Linked DNA regions of Pelodiscus sinensis. The protein of the gene in region 1 interacts with the protein of each later gene in a pairwise test. Links are inferred from orthologs where the notes say so. Each region holds a gene or a part of one and is shown on either strand. Other genes may lie near its edges. The genes, in order: ZCCHC10, PRR13 and SFMBT1.

The links.
Region 2: the proteins of ZCCHC10 (region 1) and PRR13 interact in binary tests that used the Homo sapiens proteins (3 or more experiments, as listed by UniProt). The two-hybrid records come from large-scale screens. The link is inferred for Pelodiscus sinensis from reciprocal best matches to the Homo sapiens genes ZCCHC10 and PRR13.
Region 3: the proteins of ZCCHC10 (region 1) and SFMBT1 interact in binary tests that used the Homo sapiens proteins (3 or more experiments, as listed by UniProt). The two-hybrid records come from large-scale screens. The link is inferred for Pelodiscus sinensis from reciprocal best matches to the Homo sapiens genes ZCCHC10 and SFMBT1.

The regions. Positions count from the first base shown.
Region 1 is NC_134727.1:24,430,801-24,438,328, forward strand, and holds the start of ZCCHC10 (zinc finger CCHC domain-containing protein 10), read left to right. Parts: upstream 1-4,512; 5' UTR 4,513-4,622; coding exon 4,623-4,780; intron 4,781-5,396; exon of another isoform or gene 5,397-6,140; coding exon of another isoform or gene 6,141-6,151; intron 6,152-7,528.
Region 2 is NC_134729.1:336,360-343,545, forward strand, and holds the start of PRR13 (proline-rich protein 13), read left to right. Parts: upstream 1-4,174; 5' UTR 4,175-4,287; intron 4,288-6,716; 5' UTR 6,717-6,743; coding exon 6,744-6,762; intron 6,763-7,186. Other genes in the region: AMHR2 (anti-Muellerian hormone type-2 receptor), read left to right, coding at 1-99, 397-585. UniProt on the Homo sapiens protein: Negatively regulates TSP1 expression at the level of transcription. This down-regulation was shown to reduce taxane-induced apoptosis.
Region 3 is NC_134721.1:40,537,980-40,545,102, forward strand, and holds the start of SFMBT1 (scm-like with four MBT domains protein 1), read left to right. Parts: upstream 1-4,075; 5' UTR 4,076-4,095; intron 4,096-7,123. UniProt on the Homo sapiens protein: Histone-binding protein, which is part of various corepressor complexes. Mediates the recruitment of corepressor complexes to target genes, followed by chromatin compaction and repression of transcription.

The DNA.
Region 1 (7,528 bases):
TTGTAATGTACAAAATCAGTGCTTCTTGCGCAAATACTTTCACGCTCCCACTCGGGAAAAAGCCCTCTTGTGCAAGAATACTTGCACAAGAGGGCCAGTGTAGACAGGAAAGAACTGTTTTGCGCAAAAAAGCCCCGATGGCTAAAATGACGATTGGGGCTTTCTTACGCAAAATTGCATCTAGACTGGCCACGGATGCTTTTGTGCAAAAGCACTTTTTGCGCAAAAGCATCTGTGCCAATCTAGACGCGCTTTTGCAGAAATACTTTTAACGGAAAAACTTTTCCGTTAAAAGTATTTTCGCAAATCATACCAGTCTAGACGCAGGCTTATTGTTTTTCATATGTTTTCTCAGTCTCATATGTTTTCCTATGTTTTCTCTGCTTTCAGCTTCAGAATAAATGTACTTGATTAGAAAGAGCTTGATTATTTCGAACGCCCATTTCACTGCCGCTTGTAGACGCGGGCAGTTATTCCGGGCTTATCAATTTCAAAGATGGCACCCGGCCAAGAACATGCAAATCAAGCACGGGATATTTAGATTCTGGGCTTGATTTGCAATCCCAAATGCCTACATTTGCAGCCCTATTTCGAATTAGGCTGCAAGTGTAGACATACCCGAAGAGTCCATCACTTCTTCCACTTCCCAACCTGATCCCACAGAAAGAAAGAAACCTATTTTCTTCCTTGCTCCCAGCCCCACAATCCAACACTGCCAAAAGCTCCACTGTCCTATTGTGTTCTTCAGGCTTATAATTTCTTTGTTGCATGAGCCTCTTCTCTACCATTTATATTCTATCTGGTGGTGACCAGGGCTGGCCTTACTATGAGGCAGTCGCCTCTGGTGCCAAACTATGGGAGGGAGCCACTAGGACCCAGAGTGTAGAAAATTGTATCTGCTGCTGTTTCATATGTATTCTCTCCGCTCTAGATGCACAGAGATGGTGGAGTGCTGTGCTGGAGGAAGGAGGGCAAAAGAGACATAACAGGCATGCAGGAGAAATGGGGGCGTCATTTGAGCTCCCTGCCTCAGGTGCAAGAATGTTGTGGGTTGGTCCTGGTGGTGACTTTTGGAAAATGAATTTGGTAGATGTCAGTTCAAATCCTAGGGGCAGACATTTCTGACACTAATGTCACCATCACACTTGGAACTAGTATAGGGCAGTCTTTACAAAGGAGATATGGTCAATGTCTATGGGGATTTAACCACTCTTTCACCTTTAGACTTGGTCCATTGCAGGACTATGTGTACTCTTGCTTCCCAGACTGTTCTAGTTCTGTGATAAACAGAAAACTCTAGTCTCAGTACCATTAATCTGATATCTTGCTTTCATGAGGAATATATATGCTGGAAAAATATGGAGGGGAAGAATGTTAAATCTTTGAATAGGACCACAACAAGATATTTGCCTATTCCTTTTGATGAAGTGCCATGGAGAAGCCCAAGATTTCTGAACAGTATTAGATAAAAGTGGTTAAGAGCTAGCAGCAGACACAACTGATAAATTATTGACTGTTACAAAGGTACGTTTTCATCTATCTTGTTTTAAGAAAGTGTTAGTAACTCTGTCCTGGAATCAAAAGTTCTTCCTTACTTTCACCATCAGAAGATAGATTCAGGCTAAACACCAGGTACTGGCAGTAAATTCAGAAAACAAGAGTTAAATGCCACAAAAGAGAATTACAAGTGGCATCGCAGATACTGGAGGTCAGAAATTTTAAAAAATGCCAGAGTCAGATGTGAGTAGTCACAGATTAACACAAGGTATCACCCAAAGGGAGACAGGGATTAGAAGCCAGATAAAGCCCCATATAGTATGACACGTGACGCATAGGGCAACAGCAACCAGGCATTAGACATTACAATTGAAATGTTTAGAACTTGGAACTGCCATTAGATTCAGGAATGAGTCATACAATTAACTCTGATGAGCTGGAAATGTTTATCTAACAAAACTTTTTATTAACTTATCTGCTATAGGCAACATTTAATTGGTTGCCACTGCATCAAGAGGGTCCTATTATTAATAAAATACACATTGTATGTCTGCTGCTGGCATAGGTGAGGACTCCATTCTTTGTGGGCCCTTTAGAGTGTGCAAAAAACCTGCCTTGTAATTAATCAGAATTATATTTATTTACAATCAATTATAACATTAATTATACAGGTAAATGTGGCTTATTGAAATGGTATATACCCATTCTTTGGAGAGATCATTTATTTACTATATTATGGACCCATAAATCCTGGCTCCATATTTGATGCAGGGTTTAAGCTTTTTGTTTGAAGTAGGGTACTATTCTTTCTGTTATGGCGAGATATAAAGGCTGGGCCTGATAAAAATCAACACACACATACACATTTAGGGGGGAGATAGCATTTTTTGGGAAAGTTACAAGTAAACACTTTGAACATTAGGACTCCCAATTAGTTAAATGACTCCTTTTTTAAATTTGAGGACTGTCTGGTGTATCCTTGGATCTTCCTTGTTCAAAGCCAAACTGTCTCTGCAGAGACAAACTTTCAACATTTAAATTTCCTTGTCAGTTTGTATACAGGCTAGTATGCAATTATTCTGAACTATGTGAGGAAACAATTATAAATTGTACGGTTACAGTCAAGTATCTGCCTATAGTTTAAACAATTTTTAATTGGCAGCACTTGAATCAGAGGTACTTCAACCAATAATCACTCTTCTTCCCCACCTCATTTGTATACTGCAATTCTATTGGTTGAAATGAACTGATAGAGGGAAGAACTTGTATGAGTGTCAAGAGTTCGTATTGGTAGATTTCATCTGCACACAAACCAAAGGAACACTGGATTGGCTCAGAGTTGAGGTGCATTCATCTAGTAGTTGTATATATTTAAAAATATAAACAACCTAAGAAAACCCAGCAATCCACAGGAAGGGTACACTTCATTGTGCAAAATATAGCATGTGAGTATGTGTGAAATGTGTTATATACATTTATACTGACAGTGTCTCTAGAGCCTAACAAAAACACAAAGTGGTAACACTTTGCCTAGTATCATACAGGAACTCTTAGGCCAAGCCATGTATGGAGTCAGTACAAGCACTGGGAAACAAGACCAGTTGTTATCCCTTTTGAATGGGCAGTTATCCTAGGGTTTCCAACTCTCTCGGAGAGGATGAACTGGATGCCATTACTACAAATGGCATCTAGTCTGTCCACTCAGGAGAGTTTTCAACCCTAAGTTATCCAAGAATTTGGGTCTTATTCAATTGGGAGGAGAAGTTGGTGATGGAATCGGGTGTGTGTATGATATAATCCAATCTATTTACAAAGTCCTGTTTCCTTGCACAAAGTGGAAGTCAAATAAAGGAGAGTGTCCTGGCTTAACTATCCAAGCTACTTTTTCTAGTCAGCACTTTGCCCCAAAGTGCTTTGTCATTGTTTTCCATGGGGCCATGTTCTCAGTGCTTTTTCTGACTGTGTCCATAGCACAAAGCAAGTCATATAAACCCAACTTTGTATAGGTAGTCACTAATTGCTCCTTATTTTCTGGGTACCCAACTGCAGACCCCTGGGTCTGATACACAGAAGTGCAAAGCACTCACATATGCATGTGAAATCAATGGGAGTTCTGCTTTTAACATACAAAGTTCTATATATTGCTAAGTACTTTGAAAAAATTGGGCATCTCAAATAGGGCCTAAATTATTGACCTATTGACCTTAGTCTCTGGTCCCTATTTGTAAATTGGGCATACCTTGCTTGAACCTCACAGGAGCTTTGTGAAGATAAAGAAACTGGTGTTTGTGAAGCACCTGGATGCTATAGTGATGAGCACCATAGAGGAAGCCCATAAGGAAACTAATAATCTCTGTCTTCAATGTGCCCTGTGACTACAGATCCTGACACACAAGGGTCCGTCTTGATTTGAAAAAGAACCTGATTTATAATATTTTCATAGAAGTCATTACCTGTAATTTATGTTGTACTTAGTCTGCAGAAACCCCACAGAGAAACTGATAAAATTACAGGCTTAACATTGCTCAAGGTAAACATTGGACAGGTAAACAATGCATTATACTTTTTTCAACATCAAGCGTGTTGGGATAATTGTTTGTCTTCAACTAATATTTAATGTAGAGGGCCAGGAAAGCGCCTTCATTTGTGATTATAATAGTCCTACAGCCCATAAGAAGGAGAAAGAACATAAGAATGACCATACTGGGTCAAACCAAAGGTCCATCCAGCCCAGTATCTGCGGCCAGTGAGAACACAAAAGTCACTTTATGCAGGACAGAGAAACAAGTCAAATCCATCAGTGTGAGGCTGAGAAGCATGAATAGACCAGCACAAGTCCAAAACAAGGTAGCAGCTGGTGCCTACGCATCTGTATACAAAACAAGGTAGCAGCTGGTGCCTACGCATCTCCCCAGGTCAGTGGGGAAGGGCACGGGAGAGAGTTTCACGTGGCCCAGGGAAGGGGCAGAAGCCTGGGAAGCAGGAGAGCGCGCTGGAGGACCAGCAAAGAGCCAGCCACCGGAGCTTCCGCTTCGCAGGAAGCTGCCCCGCCCGGAGAAGTAGAGACGAAGTGGAGGACGGGCCCCAAAGCGCGTCTTCTCTAGCCGCCCGAAGCCTGGCTCTTTATGGTAGACAGCGGCCGGCTTCTCCCGCAATGGGGAAGGCGGAGAAGGGCGGAATTGCCCGGCATGCAGCGCGGCGGGCCCTTCTCTGCTCGCCTCACTTCCCGGCCAGGGGCTAAGATGGCGACTCCCATGCACCGACTCATCGCTCGGCGGCAGGCGTGAGTGCGCCGGGCTAAGGGAGCGTCCCCGGAGACAGCGGCTCCCCGAGGGGCAGCCCGGGAGAAGCGGCGTCCAGCGGGCACGGGAGAGGGGGGCTGTCTTGGCGGGGAAGCCGCAGGGACGTGGGCTCTCCTGGGAGGGGAGCCGCGGGGGTCGCTGCGGCCCGTGTATGGGGAGGTCTCGCTGCCTTCACCCGTCCCGGAGAGCGTGCGGGTTGGGTGTGGAGCCAGCCCTGCGGGGGGCAGGTAGCGGCGGCTGGCCGGGCTCGCGGCGTTTGCCAGAGGAGCGCTGGTACAGGCGGCGAAGGGCAGTAAATGATGCGCGGCGTGTGTACAGGACCCCTCGTCTCCGCAGCCTCTGACGCGCAGCCCCACGGTTAAAGGGCTGTAGCGTGCGAGCAGATGGTTCTTGTTTGAAAGCGAAGCGATGCATCTGTCTGGGAGGAAGCTCTTCCCTGTCTAGCCCAACGCAAACTCTAGTCACCCTGCGCTCACCGCGAACTGGGGCAGGCCTGCTGCTCGCTGGTTTCTGAAAACAGATTCTGTATTGCAGTATGGAAGATTAAGTTGAGCATGGTACGGAGCTTCTGCAACAGGCCATTGCAGGAATAATAGAAATTTTTTACATATCGGCGTGAGATAGCTAAGTACCATTAGTTTATATATCAGAAACTTGATAAACAAAGAGGTTGCATGGCATTGGGTTTTTGTCCCTCTTCAGAAGTTGAGGATATTTTTTTTTTTTTTTTTTACACCAGAATTTGAGGTCTTGAGTGTCCAGACTAGGGTGATGGAAGAAGTAGCAAATGGATGGTATTTGTAATAATCAAGAATGAAAGCTGAATGAGAGGGGAAGGATGTCTTAGTCAAGGCTTGCCTACAGTGGCAAGTTACTGCAATGTAATTTTCTGCTTAGGGATGTGAACTCCGCCCTCCCCCCACCACACGCACCAAGTTACAGTGCTGTAAAGTACCAGTGTGGATAGTGCTGCCCTGCTTTCAGCACTATTAGCGTCTCCCTTCTTTGAGGTAGTTTACTTAAAGTGCTGAACAAGTGTTCTCCTAGCACTTTTGCTGTGACTGCACTGTGTTAAAACAGTTAAAGTGAAGACAAACTCTGATTGTTTAAAACTCCAATTTTGAATAATTAACATTAATGTCTAATCAGTCATGCATTCTTTTCACAAATTGTTAATGGTTCTACACCCAAACCCGTCAGTGAAGGTGTAAGATGTCACAATACACCTATCTGAGGGAATGTCTACACCTAAAAGTAGACAAAACAAAAATTGTTCACAGTTGCTCCCTGTTTTGACAGATCAAGTCCACATTGGGGACACCATCATCGACACTGTGAGCAATGCGCTGTGGGTATGTATCCCACAGTGCAGTGTTGTGGGAAGGCAGAGCTGAACCCTGCACACCTTGTGATTCTTTTAGTTCTCTCAGCATCCTCAGCTGATGGGGCATCATCACGAGTAGCTCTGTTTCAGTGGTGAGAGTGGAAGGGCAGATAGGTGTGGCCCTCTCCTCCCACTTTTGCAGTGGGCAGCACCGCTGAGTTTGATCTGAGCATTAGTCTCCAGGGCAACTGCTGCCTTCAGTCCAACCAGCCTCGTGTGTCAGAATTCCTCCTATCCCTGCCCTGCTTAGCACTGCCTTGGATCCCAGCCCTGCCAGGAGCCCTTGGTTTCCTCAGGCTTCCTACCTTATTGATTGATTACTCTCCATGCTGAGGAATGCTGCCTCTTTCCCCATGCAGCAGCAGTCTGCCTGATGCTGTCTTCCTATTGCAGGGCAGAACAGGAGCATTCCAATGATTTATTCTTTGTTCCCCAAACTGAATAGCTCACTGAGCTGTCAGATACTTCCCAGAGCTTTCAAAGGGGAGGCGTGCATGCCTACAAGACAGCAGAGAACAAAACACTGAACAGAGCCATCAGGGGAGGCATTGTGGGATATTGGCGGGAGCCAGTTCTATCCTGGACAAAACACACAGTAGAATCTATGTTGCCTCTTAGTATTTCTTTGTACCAGGAAAAAAGAAAAAGGTCTCTCATTGAGTGAAAGTTTTTTGATGCTGAAACTAGGTATTTTTCCCCAGTAAAAGTTGTGTGAATGTTCTCGCTGTTGTCTCTCTAAAAGGCAATTTTTAGTGATAAAACTTTGTAGTGTAGATGTATCCTGAGAGACTCATGAGGTCCCCAAGTAGGAAAAACACAGAACGTTCTAAAGTTTAAAAACAGGAAGGGCAGAAAAAATCATTTCAGGTCTCTTTTACTCACACATCTATAGTAGTGCTCACAAAAAAAGGACAAGCCTACATTTTTCTTTTTAAATTGTTCAGGTCATCTTAAAGTAACTTGACCAAAGTAGGGATGTTAAATAACATAAATGAATAGTCAATTAACCTCATGAATTCTTACTGGTTACTCGACTATTCTGTAGTCCGCAAGGTGGGGCTGGCAGTGTGTGCTCTGGCCTCGTTCCCAGGGAGTCCCTTGCCACTCTGCTCTGCTGCCTCTGTATCAGCATAGAGTACCAGGTGAGAGTTGGTCCATGAGGGGAACCAGTTTAAAAACCAGCTCCCCTCATGGACTGGTTGCCTGTTGGCCCACACTGTTGCCTATGATACAGAGGCAGCAGCATGGGGTTCCAGCAGCCCCTGTCTAAGGGGTCTGAGCTCCTGAACCCAGCACAAGCCGGAACTGAGCCGGGCTGCCTGCCCGCCTGGCTCCTAATACACTT
Region 2 (7,186 bases), on another chromosome or scaffold:
GAGCTGGGCAGCAGCCCCACGTATGACGAGCTGCGGCGCCTGGCAGTGGAGGAGAGGAGGCGGCCAGCCATCCCCGACGCCTGGAGGCGGGCAGGCCAGGTGCTGGGGCTTGGGGGGGGCAGGGACAATGGGGACGGGGAGGGGGACACGAGTGGGCAGGGATGAGGGAGGGAGGACGCTGCCCATTTAAAGGGCCGGCGCCCAATACGTCTCTGTAGCGTCACTCCCCCAGCTCAAGACCCTTTGGTGACCCGCCCCCGGCTTTCCAGTCCTGCCCTCAGGCCACGGGTGGGGGGGGTCTTGTCTCTGCTGTGGGAGGTTACCTTGCGGGCGACTCCACCAGCCAGGCCTGCCCAGGCCCTGAGAGACCCCCTCTGCTCTCCTCTCCTGCCCCAGGTCTCCGTCGGCCTGCGGGAGCTGCTGGAGGACTGCTGGGACCCCGATCCCGAGGCCCGGCTGACGGCAGAGTGCACCCGCCAGCGGCTCCAGAGCCTGGGGGCTGAGTGGTCAGCAGGGGGCGCTGAGCTGGCCAAGGTGCTGCCCCCGGGACACGGTGCCTGGGAACGGTCCCTGGGCTGGTGCTGACGGAGGAAGAGGGACGTGGGGGGCAGGGACAGCGAAGTGCCCCCGGCTGCTCCACGCCCGGCTCCTGTTGTCCAGACCCCCCCCCCATCACCCCTGCTGGATGGGATCGGCGCTGCCTGAGCAGGCTGCCCCCTAGTGGAGCTGACACGACTCTTCTCCATCCCCCGGGTGCCCATCCGGCCAGTGAGCCGGCCTGCAGGCCACCTGGCCAGAAGCTATGGCCGTGGGCGTGTGCCCCACATCAAAGGGTCGAGCCCCCGTGCGGCTTAGCCACAGATTTCTGTGTGGTCGGCTCTTATCTTCATTGAATCGTGTCCTGTCTTCCGGGTCCAGGCCTCAGGGTGGCTCTCACTTACACGCCGCTCCCTTGGGCCCTGGGAGGCAGCCACTCCCGTACCACAGTATGGTGCTTTGGCCAGGCTCCTGATCTTCCTGGCTCTGGGCTGTGGGGTTGACACTCAGGAAGCGGGACTGACTGCTCCCTGAGCCCCAAAGTGCTTGCAGTGATGGCCACTGGGTGGGAAGGGAAACTGAGGCACCGAGCAGCAAAGCCCCTTGCCGCCATGCAGCTGAGCCTGAAGCCTAGTCTACTAAGAACATGAGAGCGGCCAGACGGGGTCAGACCAAAGGTCCATCCAGCCCCGTGTCCTGTCTGCCCCCAGTGGCCAATGCCAGGTGCCCCAGAGGGAGTGAACCGAACAGGCAATGATCAAGCGACCTCTCTCCTGCCATCCATCTCCACCCTCTGACACACAGAGCCTAGCGACACCATTCCTTACCCAGCCTGGCTAGTAGCCATTAATGGACCTAACATCCATGAATGTATCTAGTTCTCTTTTAAACCCTGTTTAGTCCTGGCCTTCACAACCTCCTCAGGCAGGGAGTTCCACAGGTTGACAATGCACTGTGTGAAGAAGAACTTCCTTGTATTTGTTTTAAACCTGCTGCCCATTAGTTTCATTTGGTGGCCCCTAGTTCTTATGTGATGGGAACAAGTAAATAACTTTTCCTTATTCACTTTCTCCACACCACTCAGGATTTTATAGACCTCGATCCTACCTCCTCTTAGTCTCCTCTTTTCCAAGCTGAAAAGTCCCAGTCTCTTTAATCTCTCCTCCTATGAGACCCGTTCCAAACCCCTCATCATTTTAGTTGCCCTTCTCTGAACCTTTTCTAATGCCAGTCTATCTTTTTTGAGGTGAGGAGACCACATCTGTACACAGTATTCAAGATGTGGGCGTCCCATGGATTTATATAGGGCCATAAGATATTCTCCGTCTTATTCTCTATCCCTTTTTAAATGATTCCTAACACCCTGTTTGCTTTTTTGACTGCCGCTGCTCACTGCGTGGACGTCTTCAAAGAACTGTCCACGATGACTCCAAGATCTCTTTCCTGATTAGTTGTAGCCAAATTAGCCCCCATCATATTGTATTATATATTGGGGTTATTTTTTCCAGTGTGCATTACTTTACATTTCTCCACATTAAATTTCATTTGCCATTGTGTTGCCCAGTCACTTAGTTTGGTGAGATCTTTTTGAAGTTGACGGGCGAGCTAAGACGGGCCCGCGGGCTCCCCTGGTGTCAGGGGATGTGGGGCCTGGAGCCCGTCTGATCCACTGCCGCAGGATGCGCATAGATCGGTGTTGCCCCCTTTAGCCTTGTCTGCGCCTCCTCAGTGCTGGGGCCAGGACTGAGCTGGGGGGATCAGGGGTCAAGTGGCGGCAGAGACAGAGGGGGTGGAGGCAGGACTAGAGGCGGAGTCAGTAGGGACTGGGTGTCACTCTCCCCCTTCCCCCCCACTCCGGGGTGACTCCTGAGGATCCGCTGGGGCCCTCGCACGTCGCAGGGCTAGCTCTGGGCTCTGCTACCTCCCCCTTAGTTCCCCGGGCGGGTTGCCTTGCAGTTTGGGGTCCTCTTGCCTAGTTTCTCAGGCCCAAAGGCCCACCTGTGATCGTCTCAGCTGCCTGCCCACCACCGGCCGGCACGGCCCTGAGTTACCTCCCACCTGGAGCAGCGGGGCCGTTAGGAAATCGTCCCCTCACGTTAACTCTGCCCCTGGTGAGGAGCCCCCCACGACGCAGGCCCCTGTTAGGCCCTCGCCTGCCCTATCGGCCCCGAGCCTCAGCCTGAAATCCCCCCTCCAGCCGTCCCTTGGCTGCACAGCCAGCCCCAGCTCCGGAGTCTCTGTCCAGAAGGCCGGTCCCCCCACAGCGTCCAGGAGGCTGGTCCCTGCAGCCGGGCGGAGCGTCAGGACTGTGGGGGGTGGAGAGTGGGGGGCGCAGGACTCAGGGCTGCTTTCCAGAGCTCAGCCCCACAGGAATCCAGCCCGTAATTTCTCCAGCACTGCGAACCTCTTACCAGCGGGAGCCAGAGCCCCTAGGGAGCTCAGCGTCCCTTCCAGGCCAGGGTTTACAGCGGTCCCGTCTCAGAAACCTCAGGGTCAGTCTGTGTCTATAACACAGCCATTACAGCTGGGTCCTGCCCTCCCCTGCCCACTAGGGCCCACTCCCCTTCGTGGGCCAGGGAGAGAACCCAGGAGTCCTGCCGCCCAGTCATCTGCTCCAGCCAGCCTGCAAACAGCCCAATGACTAAAACTTTTCCAGTTTTCCCCAGAGATTCCTCCACATCCCTCCCCCCCCCCGTAGGCCCAGCGCCCCGCTGCCCAATATCCTGGGCAGAGCAGGCTCCTTAAGGCCCTGGGTGCGGCTGCCAGGTGAGCCTGGCTTTCCCGCAGCGGCGTCAGAGCTGTGTGACTGGGCTGCGTTCCAGGACCGGCCTGTGCCCTTGGGACACACCCACGGCTCGATACTGACGAATCTCTCCAGGCCAGGCCCTGGTGCCAGTGTGTGTTGGGGGCAGGGCTGTCCCAGAGGGGTGCCCCCTAAGCTTTGTCTCCCACCGATTCGCTCCTGCACCTCGCAGAGCCTCTGGGCAGCTTCATGGGCTGATGAAGAGCACAAAGGTGAGGGCTAGCGGGGGGAGGTCTCTGCCCCACCCCTGTTGTCACCGCTTCCCATCTGGGCGCCGGACACGTCAGCAGGTTTTATCCTCCCGCCCCGTGGGACATGAGCCTCATTTATGGGTGGGGAAACTGAGGCCCAGGGCGGACTCTATGGCTTGCCCCAGGTCACCCGGGACGAACGTGGCGGAGGCAAGACTGTGCTCCAGATCTTCAGGCTGGTGGCCCACCCTTCCTCCTGCGCAGGGTGGATTTCCAGTGTGAGACGGGAGCCCGAATATTTCTTCGCCACCTCCTCTCTGAGGCACCTCTCCAGCATTAGCGGGTGAACCTCCCGAGCGTCGTCCGCCCCCCGCCCTGCCGTGCCCTGCTCCCACGGTGGAGGGGCGATGGTACCCCTGGCGGGGAAACTGAGGCACAGCCACCCGCAAACCCCTCAGACGCTGCGGCTGCTGCTCCCGGAGTTTGCCCCGCGCCCCCGAGGCCGGGCCAGGCGACCCCCGGGAGACTCCAGCAGCCTGAGGCCCGAGCCCATCGCTAACCGCTAGGGCGCGCTGCCCTGCCGCCCCCCCACCCCTCGGGGTAGAACCCAGGAGTCCGGGCCTGGCCCCGCCCCCTCCCGCTGCCTGCCCGCGGGGGGCGGGGCCACCGGGCGGTGACGGACAGTCACGGGGGGCGGGGCCACCGCGCTCCAGGAAGCCGGCGGGGCTCAGCTGGGCAGCGCGGTGCCGAGTCGAGGTGAGTGAGGGGGGGCGGGTGTCTGTGTGTCCCCCCCCCACTGTGCCCCCCTGCACCTCCCGTCCCCTTCCCCCCGTGCCCCCCTGCACCTCCCGTCCCCCCCCCGTGCCCCCCTGCACCCCCCCTCCCCCCTCTGTGCCCCCTGCACCCCCCGTCCCCTCCCCCCTCTGTGCCCCCTGCACCGTGCCCCCCTGCACCCCCCGTCCCCTCCCCCCTCTGTGCCCCCTGCACCCCCCCGTCCCCTCCCCCCCGTGTCTCCCTGCACCCCCCCGTCCCCTCCCCCCTGTGTCCCCCTGCACCTCCCGTCCCCTCCCCCCTCTGTGCCCCCTGCACCGTGCCCCCCTGCACCCCCCGTCCCCTCCCCCCCTGTGTCCCCCTGCACCTCCCGTCCCCTCCCCCCTCTGTGCCCCCTGCACCGTGCCCCCCTGCACCCCCCGTCCCCTCCCCCTCCCCCCTCTGTCCCCCTGCACCCCCCCGTCCCCTCCCCCCTGTGTCCCCCCTCCCCCCCCGCCCGTCCCTGTGTGTACGCGTATCCCCTGCCCTGCCAGTCAGGACCCATCCAGCCCTTCCCCCCCCCCTAACTCCTGCGCCCCAGAGCCGACTCTCCTCTGCTGTAGGCGGCTAGATCGGTTCGGCTCCGGCGTGGCCCCCCCGGGCTGTGGGTGCGCACCGCGTTGCTGAGCCCCGGCCCCGCTTGCAGAGCGCCACGGGCGGGGCGCTCCGCCTGCCCTTGGACCCTGCGCGGGCGGGGCGGCCGGTTCCGCTTGGCTCGGGGCGGCTCCTGTGCAGAGGGCGGGGGCTGGGAACGGGGGGGGGAATTGCAAAGCGCTGTCCCCTGAATGGACCCCCCCCGGCCCGGGGGGGCTGACACCGAACTGCCCCTGCTCGGGGGGGGGCTGACACTGAACTGCCCCTGCTGGGGGGGGGGGCTGACACCGAACTGCCCCTGCTTGGGGGGGCCTGACACTGAACTGCCCCTGCTCGGGGGGCGGGCGGGGCTGACACTGAACTGCCCCTGCTGGGGGGGCGGGGGGGGCTGACACTGAACTGCCCCTGCTGGGGGATGGCGGGGGGGGGCTGACACCGAACTGCCCCTGCTCGGGGGGGCGGCGGGGGGGGCTGACACTGAACTGCCCCTGCTGGGGGGGGGCTGACACTGAACTGCCCCTGCTGGGGGGGGGCGGCGGGGGGCTGACACTGAACTGCCCCTGCTGGGGGGGGCGGGGGGGGCTGACACTGAACTGCCCCTGCTCGGGGGGCGGGGGGGGCTGACACTGAACTGCCCCTGCTGGGGGGGGCGGGGGGGGGCTGACACTGAACTGCCCCTGCTGCGGGGGGCGGGGGGAGCTGACACTGAACTGCCCCTGCTCGGGGGGGTGGAGGGGAGCTGACACTGAACTGCCCCTGCTGGGGGGCGGGGGGGGGCTGACACTGAACTGCCCCTGCTGGGGGGCGGGGGGGGGGGCTGACACTGAACTGCCCCTGCTGGGGGGCGGGGGGGGGCTGACACCGAACTGCCCCTGCTGGGGGGGGCGGGGGGGGGCTGACACCGAACTGCCCCTGCTGGGGGGGGCGGGGGGGGCTGACACCGAACTGCCCCTGCTCGGGGGGGGCGGGGGGGGGCTGACACCGAACTGCCCCTGCTGGGGGGGCGGGGGGGGGCTGACACCGAACTGCCCCTGCTGGGGGGCGGGGGGGGGCTGACACCGAACTGCCCCTGCTCGGGGGGGCGGGGGGGGGCTGACACCGAACTGCCCCTGCTCGGGGGGGCGGGGGGGGCTGACACCGAACTGCCCCTGCTCGGGGGGGCGGGGGGGGCTGACACCGAACTGCCCCTGCTCGGGGGGGCGGGGGGGGGCTGACACCGAACTGCCCCTGCTGGGGGGCGGGGGGGGCTGACACCGAACTGCCCCTGCTCGGGGGGGCGGGGGGGGCTGACACTGAACTGCCCCTGCTGGGGGGGGCGGGGGGGGGCTGACACTGAACTGCCCCTGCTGGGGGGGGCGGGGGGGGGCTGACACTGAACTTCCGCCGGCTCCGAGCCCCCAGGCCACGTTGTCCGACCCGGGGCTGGGGCTCCAGGGGAGAAAGCGGCAGCTGCTGCCTCCTGCCGGTCGCCCCTGTGCCTGGGGCCCGCGGGGCGGGAGGGGACCAGGGCCCTGACCCCCCCGTGGCGGCCGTGGGGCCGGTGGCTGAGCGCTGCGCTAGCAGACCCCTGCCAGGGGACCTGGGGCAAATCGCTGCCCCTCTCCGGACTCCCCTTCCGCCCTTTGTTGCCAGGGCTGGACCCCCAGGCTGTGTTGCCAGCGGGGCGCCCGGGTCTAGGCAGGCAGCAGCCTCAAGGGTGGGCCCTGATCTCCTTTAGGGCCCCCCCCTGCCCGAGGCCTGGCTGACCCCCGCTTTGCCTCACAGCCTCTCTCCCCCTCCAGGTGACCGGAGACGCCTCCTCTCTGAGCATGTGGGATCCCAACGCAGGTGAGGGGTGCTGGGCGCGCTGGCGGGGTTCTCCGCTGCTCCTCTGGCCTCCCCTCTGACGCTCGCCTGCTCTCTGCCCCAGCAGGGCCCCTCCAAAGCGGCAGGTTTGGCGCTCGCCCGGCGCGGCGTGGCTGCTCCCTGGGAAGGGGGCTGGGGGCAGATTCGGCAGGACGCTGCAGAGTGCAAGGGGGAAGATTCCCGCTCCTGAGCTGGTCTTTTCCCGTGACCCTCTGAGGAGCGGCCCCCGGCTGTGGAGTGAAACAGGATTAGCTGCCCAGGCCGCAGGGATCCCCCCAAGGGCCGGGGCTCTCACGGTGAAAAGGCTGCTCTCCTAGCTGCACCAGGCCGTCACTCCGCCTCCGTCCGCTTGCCGGGAGTTTGCGTAACTCTCTCCCCGAGGGCTCCCGGGCCACCCTGGCGGCTG
Region 3 (7,123 bases), on another chromosome or scaffold:
TACATAAATCTCCTATGTAACATCAGTGACTTAAGCACAACAGCCCAGTTTTCAGAATTGCAGGCTAATTGCCACCAGGTTCCCTTTCATCTGGGAGACTCAAGCAACGAGCAAAATTAGCTTCTTACTTGAATGTGGCTAGGTTGATATTTTGCTGACATCCCAGAAATATCCAATTTGCGATTGTAACAAAAGGGAAAATGTATTAATGAGCAAATCAATCACAGACTTCCTTTAGGGAGAATATAAATGTATATAAAGACAAGGACCGTTGATAAATTACAATTAATTCAAATAATTATTTCAAAAATTATCATGATTAATTACAGCTTTAATTGCACTGATATACAATAGAATACCAATTGAAATGTATTACATAAGTGGATGTTCTATATTTTCAAATATGTTGATTTCAGTTAAAACACAGAATACAAAGTGCACAGTGCTCACTTTAGTTTAATTGCCAATAATTGTATTGTTCAAATGATAAACAAAAGAAACAGTATTTTTCAATTCATACCAGTGCTATAGTGCAATCTCTTTATTGTGAAAGTGAAACTTATACATTTAGGCTACGTCTAGACTGGCAAAGTTTTTCCATTAAAAGCATTTGCGGAAAAAAAGCGTCTAGATTGGCACGGACGCTTTTCCGCAAAAGCACTTCTAGATGCGGTTTTGTGCAAGAAAGCCCCGATCGCCATTTTCGCCATCGGGGCTTTTTTGCGCAAAACAGTTTTTAGCGGTCTACACTGGCCCTCTTGCGCAAAAACATTTCCGGAAAAGGGTTTTTGCCTGAACAGGAACGTCAAAGCATTTGCGCAAGAAGCACTGATTTTGGACAGTAGAATGTCAGTGCTTTTGCACAAAATCAAGCGGCCATTGTAGACAGCTGTCAAGTTTTTGCGCAAAAGCAAGTGCTTTTGCGGAAAAACTTGCCAGTCTAGACACAGCCCTAGATATTTTTTTGTTACAAAATTGTATTCATATATGTGTGTGTGTATGTATAATGACTTTAGAGTTTTACTTCTTGTACAGCCAATCACACAGACAAATAAGTTTGTTTACATTTGCAGAAGATAATGCTGCCTGCTTTTTATTTACAATGACACCTGAAAGTGAGAACAGCCATTCATTCACGTAACACTTTTGTAGCTGGCATGGCAAGATTTTTACATGCCTGATATGCCAAATATTCATTTGCCTCTTCAGGCTTCAGCCACCATTTGAGAGGACATGCTTCCATGCTGATGACACTCGTTAAAAATAAGGCATTAAATAAATTTATGACTGGACTCCTTGGGAGAGAATTGTATATTTCCTGCTGTTTTACCCATATTCTGCCATATATTTCATGTTATAGCAGTCTCAGATGATGACCCAGCATGTTTTTCATTTTAAGAACTCTCTCTGCAGATTTGACAAAATGTGAGGAAGAAAATGCAAATTGCACTGTGAAATTTCTAAAGATAGCTACAGCACTCAACCCAACATTTACGAATCTGAAGTGCTGTCCAAAATGTGAGCGGTATAAAGTGTAAAGCAAGCTTTGAGACATCTTAAAAGAGTAAAACTCAAACCACCAAAAAGAAAAATCTGCTGGTGACATGTAATTCAGATGATGAAAATGAAAATGCATCAATTGAGTCTGCTTTGGATTGTCATTAGCAGAATCTGTCATCAGCATGGATGTAGGGAAAGGTAGTTGAAGCATGAAAGGTCATATGAATCTTTAGCATATCTCAGCTATCTGACATAAATATCTTGCGACATTGGCTACAACAGAGCCATGCGAATGCCTGTTCTCACTTTCAGATGACATTGTAAACAAGAAGTAGGCAGCATTATCTCCTGCAAATGTAAACAAACTTATTTGAATGAGCATTTGGCTGTACAAGAAGTAGGTCTGAGTGGACTTTCTAGTCCCTAAAGTTTTACATTGTTTTATTATTGAAGGAAGGTTTTTTTGTACTTAATTCTACATTATTTCAAGTTTCATGATAAAGAAATTGCTTCTGCAATAGTTGTACTAGGTTAATTGAAAAATACAATTTCTTTTGTTTTTCACGATTTGTAATACGATTTCACTTTGTAATAAAAATAAATATAAAGTAAACACTGTATACTTCATATTCTGTGTCATTTGAAAATGTAAAAAAATTCAAAACTATGTAAATAAATGGTTTTCTATTATTAACAACACAATCCTGATTCATTTTTTAATTGCTTGACAGCCCTAATATAGACCATTCTGACCATTTCCTCAGACTCGTCAGCTCAGTACATACCATATTAGCAGGGGCGGATGAGAGTGCCACGGGGCCCAGGGCAGCGCCGCGGGGCCCCGGGCAGCAACATTTCATGCCCCCCCCCCTTTGACACAGCGCATGCGCTGTGGTGCCAAGGCGCATGCGCGGGGCCTCAGGAAGCGCGGGGCCCGGGACAGCCGCCCCGCTCACCCTGCCCTAAATCCGCCGCTGCATATTAGAGTACTTTTGTACAAGACCATGTGGCTAGAGAATTTCAGCCAGTGTCTAGTGCATAACTCTTTTTGGAATCCTTTGGATCTTGCATTTTTGCTCTCAGGGAGGTTCCAGCTGGCGGGGATGGAGTGCTAAGATGGGCAGTTTTTATGTAAGATTCCTTAAAAATCAAAGGTCAGAAAACACAAACAAATCTAAAACCATCAGAACTGGTCTCATGTATGCCCCTAAAATCAAGTGGTGTTGTGCTAAAATACACAAGGATTGGGCAAGGCCTCAGTCATAGCTTGAGACCTGAACTCACATATTAAAGTGTTGGGGGTGTGAAGGCTCAGGCCCTAAAACTTTTGGGAGAAGAGCATAAAGTTAGCATGGCAGTCTTAGCTCTGACATTCCAGACTCGTGTCAAGAAGCCAAACCCTTCATATTACAGTATATTGGTGAGGGTTTGTATTGTCATGGCAGCCAGAGAGGGGGAGAAGAGCCATTAGATCATCCTGTCAATCTCCAAGCCAGTCCAGGACTGTTCCCATCATTGCATTTTTTAACACATTGCCCAATTTCGCGTTAAAAAGTCCCAAGTGAAGGGGTGACGACACTTCCTTTCGGTGACTGTTTCACAGCCTAATCTACTACATCGTCAAGAACATTTCCCTTGACAATCCAGGCCAAATTCTTCTCATTGCTCTGTTAAACTGCCTGTATCTGATGGTAAGAATCATACCCTGAGCTCTCCCACACCTCTGGCTGTGAGATGATGGAGCTCTTCTGTGGCTTAATCACACATCTGTTTCCTCCCACATGGGTATTTTTGTGCCTTACTGCTGTCAGCACTGCAAGTACATGCTAACTTTGAAATGCTCATTTCTTCAGGACTGAAAATAGAATAAAGGTAGCATTCAGGTCAGCTGATCTAGGGGCTGCCTGCAGGGTAGGGTGGGAATAAGCTACACTCAGCAACAGGAATTATTTTCTTGCGTAGAGCGAAAGAGCTTGTGCAAGGATGACCATGAGGCTTGCGCTATGGGGCCAAATAAGAGGGTGATGTCTGAGATGAAGTGATTACCAAAGGTCACGTCAGAGGCAGAAATAGAGCCTGGTCTCCCAAATCCTTGTCCAGTGCCCCATCCAGTAGAAATCAATACCAGTTGAATTGTAACATTGCCTAGCAATATTAGATGCATATTTCCTTCAATAGGGTTAATGACAAACATTCTACGTACAGTCAGTAGACCAGGTACAGTTTCCATTTCATGTATGTGAACCATCCAAGAACAGTCGGCTTTCAACAAAAACAATGTCTTTTTGCACTTCATCGTTACTATGGAACACAGTGCTTGTGGACTGGCCCCCGTACACTGAGGTTAGAGAACTGTTGTTTGTATTGCCATTGCTCATTGCTGGAGAGTAAGCTCAGATTGTGGTCGCATTGGTTTTCCTGTTTTCTTGTTTTCAAATTTTTGCATTTTTTACATTATACTATCACTTCCCCTTATTACGTAGTATTACATGTAGCTGTGTGGTCACAGTGTCTCCATTCTGATCTACTTACACATGTGCTTCTGCCCTACAGCCGTAAAATGCAACACAACCTACCTCCCAGGCACGTACTCATGTAAGCAGCCCTTTCTTATTCATGTGTTTAGTTTCAGGCAAGCCAATGGGATGGTTGCTGTGAAGAAAGCTTTGCAGGAATGTGACTAAAAAGTTGAGCTACTTCAGTATTCCACATCAGATCTTATGGCTGGTTCACTAGATGAACTCCTCTTCGAACGTGCAGAATTGGACATGTTCCGTCAGTTTCATAATATTGGACATTAGTTTTATCAGGTGGCAGGCACATTAATGTTTTGGCACGAATGCATTTGATTTTATATTTGTTTTTCAACTTTGGTTATATATACACGTATCAAGGTAGGAACATTTGATTTTTTTTACTGCATGAAGTACCAGGTTCAGTTGGGGTACCATCGGGTGATGCCTTACTAAATAGCTGACGTGATGCCTGAATTTTGTTTGATGTTTATAAAATGTGGTAAGCCAGTTAAGAGAGTTGACTGGCTACTGGCCGTGCTGTTCTGAAAGCATGCTTTTATATTCAGCATTTCCCTGGTGTGAGTCAGAATTCATTCAGTGTTGCCAGTTGTACAAACCATAAAATATGCAGGAAAGGTATAAACTGGTAGTTACTTTACTTAGACCTGGTTACAACATATGTATATTAAGTTAGCTGTTGCAGAGTACATTCTATTACCATGAAAACTTGTTTGTGTACCACATACATGATATACTAGAATCTGTAGGTGGCATTTTCCTTTTCAGTTCATCTTAAAAAACTTACTGTCATAGTATTTGCCATTAACCTCAGCAAGCGATCACATTTTTTGCTTTATTTCCTAAGAATTGCTGGTTACTGCTGGGTTGATGTTTGATGAGATGCTTTCTCTTTTCTAATCAATTTGATCCTCTGCCTGGTTATGTCAGGGATGCACACACATCCTTGTCAGCTAAATGAATTAAATATGTGTTGTGTATCCTGTACAACAGACCATGCTTGTGGGTGTGTCTGCACAGCATGTTGAACCCAAAATAAGATATGCAATTCGTATCTATACAAATAAATTTGAAAGAAGCTATTTTGAAATTTGGCGCTGTGTAGACGCGCTATTTCAACACACTTAACCTTTGTGCAATGAGGTTTACAGGGATGGTGAAATAACATGCCCATTATTTCAAAAAACATGTTGAAATAATGGGTGTGTTTCAAAGATGCAGAGTAGCTGTATCGGGATACTGAGATATCCCAAATTGTAGACATAGCAGATGAGACCACCTCCCTCCTTTGATAGCGGAGGCAGCTATCTCCAAATCAAGTAAGAATAACTCGACAACTAGAAGAACAACTCAGCAACTGTTTGGGATTTTTTGTTTGTTTTTGTTTTTTTAAAGTCCCCTACGATGGGTTTGTTTGCGTGTGTGAGAAATATTTGCAGCTGGCATAGGCCTTTAAAAAGACTTGTTTTCTATGCCCATGTTGGATAACATCAAGCATAATTCTGCAAATTGTCCCTGTATTAAGCAATCAAAGAGGAAGGCCTTTGCAGTAGAATGGTTTCTAAAAGGGCTGCTTTTCCAATCTCAATGACACTTATGTAGGGTTGCCAGATGGTTTAACAAAAATTACCGAATTTCTCCCCGCTCCCCCCCATGGGAAAAAATTCTGTTGAGCAAAAAAAGAGAAAAAAACAAAAACACAGAAAAACTTGTTGAGCAAAAAAAGGACTTATCGGGGCCGAAATACGGTTGTAGCCCTTTTAATTCCTGGACCGCTCCGTCCTCCCCCAGCCAACCCGAGCTGCACCATGTGTCCCAACTGCCCTTCTGTCGGACATCTGAGCCAGGAAAAACAGAAAATACCAGTTGTACATGTCCAGTATTTTCTGAATTTTTTTGCTGGCCAGAAGGTGCAAATACTGGGCTGTCCAGTTCAAAAACTGTCCGGTGAGGGGGGATTTGATAGCAGCCTTCAACTTCCTGAAGGGAGGTTCCAAAGAGGATGGAGAGAGGCTGTTCTCTGTAGTGACAGATGGCAGAACAAGGAGCAATGGTCTCAAGTTGTGGTGAGAGAGGTCCAGGGTGGATATTAGGAAAAACTATTTCACTAGGAGGGTGATGAGGCACTGGGATGGGTTCCCTAGGGAAGTAGTGAAGTCTCCATCCCTAGAGGTGTTTAAGTCTTGGCTTGACAAAGCCCTGGCCGGGTTGATTTAGTTGGGATTGGTCCTGTGTAGAGCAGGGGGCTGGACTTGATGACCTTCTGAGGTCTCTTCCAGCTCTGTGATTCTATGAATACCAGACACCTGGCAACCCTACACTGTGTGGTTTTCTTTGGTTCTATGTTGCCTCAAAATGTCTGTCATGAATGGCTACATAACTACTTTCACTATTAGCCCTCCACCTCGCCACATAAAAAGGGCTGTTGCCGAAAATGAACTCATTCTTTTTCTTTGCAAACAGTACATTTTAAATCCTACTTAATGGTATTGAAAGTAGAGAGCAGCAGGGAATTATGAGAGAAAACAAGTAAAGCCAGTAGCAGAGGAACGGGTGGGAGAAGCAGAAGGAGAGACTACAAAGATACATCAGGAACGAAGCACAGGTTAGCTACTGTTTATTCCCTTCATTGTGGATTACTAGGAGAACTACGACTTGGACTGCATTTTCTAGCCTTTCTTGTACTGAATATGGCTCTGATTCCTCCGAACCAAAACGAGGCCTTTGGCTAGGTATGGAATCTCGAAGTGAGTCAGAACTCTTTCAGGCTCGTCTCCATTATCTGAATTCCTGATTTGAAAGCAGTTTCTCATCTGACTTGTCAAATTCAAGGGGCACTAGAATTCCTCTATTCTACTTGCCTAAACGAAAGACACAAAGAGGATAATTGCATCAAATGAGCCAACACTGAAAGCAAAATACCAGACGTCTACAATTGTAAACAATTACAGCCATGGCTTGGAAACCTGCAATTAGCATTAATGAATCGGAGCTTCTTCTGGTGCCTGTGGCAATCGAACATTTTACTCTCATGCGAGTAGAGAGTGAGATAATGTGGGCGACTCATGTAACCCCAAGCCTCACTACTC